Canis lupus familiaris: one gene and its partner. The protein of the gene in region 2 interacts with the protein of the main gene of each other region in a pairwise test. Links are inferred from orthologs where the notes say so. Each region holds a gene or a part of one and is shown on either strand. Other genes may lie near its edges.

Region 1 (3,500 bases), on a different chromosome or scaffold from region 2:
GACCGGGGAGTGGGGGGGGGGGGACGGGACCAAGCAGACTCCCTGCCAAGAGCAGAGCCTGACACAGTTCAATCTTGACCCTGAGATCATGACCTGAACCAAAATCAAGAGTCAGATGTTCAACCAACTGAGCCATCCAAGCACCCAGGCAAGACTGTTTATCATAACATAAATACTTGTATCTAAGGGAAGTTCCCAGGCAGCATATAAAGAATGCTTTTAAGGCTGTTAAAGTACATTCATTTCTATGAGAAATGTTCTTTTTTTTTTTTTTTTTTTATTCTGCTTTTTAGAATGATTATATTTTGGTGATAGAAGTTTAAAATTTGGCTGATTAAGCAGTTGTTGCAGTTCCTGGTCCTTGAACTTTCTTTGGTGTGGAATAGTTTATGGTGAAGCTTTAACTATAAATGTGTAAAACTCTACAGATTCGAGAAATGATGGAGTCCTTTGAAGGCCCTCAGCCAGCAGACGTGAGGTTGATGAAGAGGAAAACAGGTGAGAGCTTGCTTAGTTCCGGCTGTTCTGGCTCTCTTCCCCATTCCCACCTCAGCCCGTAAAGACCATCCTGATTCCCCCAATCTTCAAGCACATGAATTCAGAATGAAAGGTTTGCCATGGCTAAGGAATGTGACTCTTTGAAAACGATATTAGAGAGCACCTGAGGACCTTTTTAAAAACTTTGTTTTTAGGGGCTTTTTTCCTTCGGTAAGTAGCGATTTATAAACTCCTTGTTTGACTGTTTGTAGTCGGTTGCATGGTTACTTTTTAAGCGTGGAATCAAATCGAGTGGCACTTAGTTCAGGCGGCTTGGTTCCTTGCCATGGCAAAGTATCAAGAAGATCCCCAAGTCAAGTCACATTTGTAAAGCTGCTTCCCAATTGGCTTTGTCACGCAGTGTTGAAGCAGTGGGAGAGAGATTCACCTGTTATAAAGGAACTGACTAACACGAGTATCCCGTCTATATCTGAATGCTGTCTCTAGGTGTAAGCCGTGGTTTCGCCTTCGTGGAGTTTTATCACTTGCAAGATGCTACCAGCTGGATGGAAGCCAATCAGGTTGCTTCACTCACCAAGTCTAGATATTCATGAAAATGGAACAAGTCTGTACAATTTAAAAACAAAAAAACAAAAAAGGTTGAAGGAGTGGTTTGTTCCAAAGGAGTGATTTTTTTAAAAGAAAAGCTTTGTATATATTAAAATTGATATTATTAGAATAATACAGCAGCAAGGACTGCATTATAGAATTTGCTCTGCTTTTAAACGTGGCTGCCTGGCAGAGTTTGTTAATCACTGAATACCTGTCTGGTGATAACCAAAACACCTTCTCTTTTCCCCTACTGATGATGTTCCTATTCATTGTGTCCGTTGAGAGTAATCTTAAAATATCCAACTCTCGATTTAATAGCAAAAAGAATGCAGTAGAAGTCTGCTACAGGCATTTTGAAGTAATTCCATTTTTCTGCTTGGAGACCACAAGCCTCTAAGAGGCATAACTGCTCATATGGGTCTTCAAGGACTATGTAAGGACCTCATGGAATTTATGAACAATAAGTCTGATGAGATTAGCCTGGAAGCTGGTGTCCTGCTGCTGTCTAATCTAGTTAAAGTGGCATTAACATTCTAATCTCCCTGAGAATGCCTTTTGTATTCCGTTCAAAGCAAATCATTGATGGTTCTTTGATGTAGCATTAACTGAAGTGTTCCACAGTTTGTCGAGATAACATTCTGTACTTGGCACTTAAATAACATTTTTTGCCAGAACTCCACAAAGTGCAGTATTAAATGCCTTAACCCAGTGCGTTCTGGGAAGTTTGTTTAACTCATTATGTTGCTTTTCTGCAACATTTTATGATTTGTCACCCACGAATAAGTTACACTCCGGTATGTATTGCTGTTTATAACAAAGACTCACTAATGAGCATATCATTTTGATTGAATGATTTGTTAGATTTTTAAACCTCTCATTTTCTTAACTCAGAGGTGATAGCCTGATCTTACAGAAATAGAGTTTCATTCATTTCCTACCACGGACACCATGTTAGTAAATTGAGAACCTATACACAAGCTTCATGTGAGTCTGCCCTCTTGACACAGCAGCATCTTTTGATGCATTGGAGGTATCAGAATGGCTTGCCTGGGAGTTTAAAACTCCAAAGAAATTAAAACTCACAAGACATTTAAAAATCTCCACAATTTTAATGTATACAAAGCTAAGTTCACGTGTAATATTTCATTACAGCTCAAATTCACTCCAGAAATAAGACCAATAGGATTAGGGACTCAGTGATAGTTTGGAGTCTCCCCCAGCACACACCCCTCCTACTGGGATGATCTGTTGACATATCTCCCAGCTTCATTTTTGTTTCTGTACAATAAAGTGAGTGGATGGCCCTTCAGCTTTTTCCCTCTTGGCCAGACATGCAGTCTTGCCTTTAGATATTGCAGAGACAACATTCACAGCATGTCTTAACTCTTCCAGGATTTTCAAGAACCAAATTACTCAACAGTATGTATATTTAGAGGGGTTAGACTCCTTTTAAAAATCTGGATATCTAACCTCTTACTTAAATCTGTTCTGATAGTATCAGAACACCCTGCTCCCTCCCCCATTGATCCCCCTCCCCCCCATGAAAAGCAAAAGAAAAGGTGCTCCTGTTAAATGAAGGCTCTTTGGGGGCAGGTGCTGGGTATACTCTTGGCTAGACTGATTGAGCTTGGAGTTTTGATCTTTTAAAGTTGTGTCTCTTTTAGTCACGTGGTTGACTTGAAGGGTAAGGTGGTGTATGCATTTACGAACTCTTCTGACCCCCCAGAAGAAACTTCATTGGCCTCCTGGTTACTCATCTTGAAGAGAGTACCATGTATTTCAGGGAAAAACACATCTGTCACCTAGGACATAACATGGTTTCAATTGGCAGGAAGAAATCTCATTTAGCTGCTTTAGAGTCGATGGCATTCAGAATAGGCCCTCCAAAGAAAGAGTTGTAACCAGATTCCCTTTAAACTTGAGCTCCCCCCAAAAAAACCTGAGCTCCCCTCCCTTTGTCCCCCAGAGGACACATCCTGAAGCAAGAGTTTGGGGAAGGGGAACTAGAAAGGATTTACTTTGCATAAGGACGGGGACTGGGGGAAAAGTGAAGCGAAGCCCAAGGACACCATGCTGAGGCTAAAGTAGGAGGCAATCTCAGAACTGGGAGAATTGTGTCTTCTGCTTTTTGAAATAGACTGTCACTCTCAGGCAGCCTGGCAATGCTGAATGTTAGGACTTCTGTCTCTGCTGGAGACACGGCCTGGTGCATGTCAGCGGTTAGAGTTTGGCAGCTTTCTCAGCACTCCCTGACTCCGTTTACCTTTACTCCGCATCCCATTCTCTTACTGCCTATCTGAAGGATTGGATGGGCAGAGTATAGGTGGCGGTGGTTGGTCTTCCCCGTATGTTGTCCATTTAATTCCAGAGCACTGATTTTTCCGAAGTGTGCTCTGCCCTGGGAAAATGGA
Region 2 (3,500 bases):
AGGTTCTCACCATGAGATCATCTGATATTTCTGATAAAATTCTAATATGCTTAGTTATCTGAACATAATGGCTATTTTAAAAAGTCATTTAAGAAAATACACTACACAGCACTCTATATGAATCAAGAAACTAGAGACCAGGCACAAAAGGACAAGATGAATACCTCAAATGCCTAAGGCTGCATTATTGCATAAATACCATTTTTATGCCCTCAAAAAAGCATTTGGTACTCTTGCTTCTAAAATTTATAAAAATTCTTCCATTCAAAATGCATAAAAATAAAGACAGGTACCAACAGAGGGTTTATCTGTAAAAGTGAATTTGCAACACATTTTATTTCCCAAAAGAACAAGTATGATTTTGTACTGGGAATGATTTTCTACCCAGGGGACATGTGACAATGTTTCTGCAGACATTTTTGGTTGTTACAACTGGAGGAGAGAATGTTACCGCATGTAATGGGTAAAGACCAAAGATGCCACAATGCACAGGTTACCCCACAACAAAAAAAACTGATAGGCCAACCATGTAAATAGTGAAGTTGAAAAAACCTGCTCTACAGAAAAAGCATTGTGGCCAATGGGGGTACAAATCATAGATCATACAAATACTGAAGAAATGCAAGGACAAAGAAATGACGCAACATTTATAGCTCTTAAAACAACAGCCTTTGCTGGAATATTATGTGTATCAAGCATTCCTGTAGAAATTGAATACAAATAAAATAATTCACATTCCAATGGAGGTAGGCAGTCACAGAAGACCTGTGATTTTTGTATCTGGGAGAATTAGAGCAATTCCCCACAACACTGTTTACAGTTGTGTCATTAATGTACTACAGGAATTATACTGGTTTAAACATTCCTCTGGGACAATGACCTTTAAACCTAGGGAAATATAAAAATGGCCCACAGACCTCATTGAAGATGCAGATTCCTTTTTCGCCTCAGATTTCACCTATCTCAGCAAGTCTGGAACAGGACCAAGAACTTGCTTTTAACAAACTCTTCTACTCTTCTCTCCTAAGTAGACTGTCCAATGATCACACTTGAGAAAAATGTTCTGGGGCAGGGGTCAGACCTTTTCCTTTTACTGTAAAGGGCCAAAACAATTTAGGCTTTGAATGCACACATCATCTCTGTTGCACATTCTTTGCTCTTATTTACAACTGCTTAAAAATGTAAAAACAATTCTTAACTAGTGGGCCATACAAAAACTGAAACTGGAGGAAGGTTGGCACATGTAGCTATTTAAATTAAAATGCTATAAAATTAAAATGTATTCCCTCCTCTCACCAGCCACATTTCAAATCCTCAAAAGCCATACACTCCTGGTGAGTGACATACTGAACGGCAGACAGAACATGTTCAGCACCAACAAAAGGTCTGATGGAACAGCACTACCCCAAAACCTCACCACTCAACCCTGGAGAGCTTCAACATTACTTGGGAGCTTGTTAGGTAGACAGAATCTCAGGCTACACCTGACCTACTGAATCAGAATCAGTAAGTGGAAATTTTCTAAGTGGAACTGCATGTATGTTAGAAAAATACATTCTAGAAAGTTCATAAAGCCTACTGAAACAGAGGACAAGCTCTAAGAAAACCTCCAGTAAGAGGCTCTCTGAAATGGTCTTCTCCAGATAGCTTTTTCCTGAACTTTAGCTTGAGAATTTCATAGCACACCTATAAACCTACGGTGGAAAACAAGTTTTAAAAAATGCAGCACAAAAAAATAAAAAAAAAATCTACACCTGAGAATAAAACCTGTCAAAGTGAGGTAAATTCCAACTAAGAAATTTCACTGATTCCTTCTAATCTTCAGTGAACACATGAAGACAAAATCAAAACACAAACATTTGAAGCCACTCAACTTCACTCACAAGCTGACTAGGACAACATGATTTCACTGCAGCTGTGTGGTTCAAATTTATGCTTTAGCAAAGCTGCAAATTATCACACCACCACTTACCACTCAGGTATCTCCAAAGTTGAAAACTGCAATTGCTAAATCTTGAAATTCTAAAAGCACGTAACATTCTTAGGATAATTAACAAACACCAATTGTATAAAAGGGTATTCTTAGAGTACATATAAAAAGGGGTTATAATGCTTCATACATAAATACAGTCAAGTTGAGGAAAATCTTTAAACCTTGGGATAAGAAATACGTGGTTAATATATACCATGTTCTTAGATTTTAAAAGCTGTTGTATAATTTAACATGCTAAAGGCTAAATAATTAAGCAAATAATGACAATTAATACCTCTTGACCAGTTAAGAAAAGTAGAAGATCTCCTTCCTCCTCCTCACACATATGAATTTGGATCACTGTTCGAATGGCTGCTTCGAGATAATCTCTCTCTGGTTCAGGAGTATAAAAGATCTCAACAGGATGTGTACGTCCAGGAATAGTTAAGAGAGGACAGTTATCAAAGTAAATCTGGAATTTCCCTGCATCTAATGTAGCGCTCATAACTATAACCTGGGGGAAACAAAAAAACACAAAAGTTAATTATTTGAAGCAGTCTTCAAGGATTCTTACATGGTCCTAAGGAAAAAAAGACAAGTAATGTCTATGTTCTATATATATCTCAATTATTAAAAAACCTACAAAAATGATTAAAAAAATCAAATGCAGGGGCACCTGGGTGACTCAGATAAGCATCTAATTCTTGGGGCACCTGGGTGGCTCAGTAGTTGAGCATCTGCCTTTGGCTCAGGTTGTGATCCCAAGGTCCTGGGATTGAGTCCCACATTAGGCTCCTCACAGGAAGTCTGCTTCTCCCTCTGCCTATGTCTCGGCCTCTCTCTGTGGGTCTCTCATGAATAAATAAAATCTTCAAAAGTAAAAATAGTAATTTTTAAAAAGCATCCGACTCTTGATTTTAGCTCAGATCACGATCTCAAGATCCTAAGAGCAAGTCCCTCATCTCCTCCTCGGGCTAAGCAGGGAGTCTGCTTGAAGGTCTCCTTTCCCCTGTCCCTTGCCTTGCACACACTCCCTTTCTCTAAAATAATAAATAAATACATCTTAAAAAAAAATCAAATACAGAAATGCTGAACTATGATAAAAGAGTTACTGACATTTTTAAAAAATTAGAAATGAACACAGTATATAATAAGAAATAAATAACACCTGAAGGCCCAAAGTTCATAAACTGTTTTAACATATTTATGTTTACATAAGATTTATATAATATATAAAAGGGAAGGGTAAAAGACAACATAAATAAATAGCACAATTACTACTGTGTTTATTAAGACAGAACAGGACAACCTTACACACAGGAAAGAGCAGGAAATGCAAATAGAAAAAAAGAAAAACATCAGTGGCACAGATATAAATTTTCTCTTTTTCCAAATCACCTTTAATAAGAATGACTTCTTTAGAAAAATTGCTAAACAGGGATTTTCTACACTGTTGTAAAAAGCCAGTCACCAAAAGGCTGTTCCAAATACAGAGCGATGAAGACTGTACAGTCACCCTCTCTCCATG

Evidence for each region.
Region 1: the proteins of DHX15 (region 2) and RBM5 interact in binary tests that used the Homo sapiens proteins (3 or more experiments, as listed by UniProt). The link is inferred for Canis lupus familiaris from reciprocal best matches to the Homo sapiens genes DHX15 and RBM5.

What each region holds. Positions count from the first base shown.
Region 1 is NC_049241.1:39,622,160-39,625,659, reverse strand, and holds part of RBM5 (RNA-binding protein 5), read left to right. Parts: intron 1-228; exon of another isoform or gene 229-428; coding exon 429-498; exon of another isoform or gene 499-984; coding exon 985-1,058; exon of another isoform or gene 1,059-1,104; intron 1,105-3,500. UniProt on the Homo sapiens protein: Component of the spliceosome A complex. Binds to ssRNA containing the consensus sequence 5'-AGGUAA-3'. Regulates alternative splicing of a number of mRNAs.
Region 2 is NC_049224.1:86,179,499-86,182,998, reverse strand, and holds part of DHX15 (pre-mRNA-splicing factor ATP-dependent RNA helicase DHX15), read right to left. Parts: intron 2,487-3,500; coding exon 2,268-2,486; intron 1-2,267.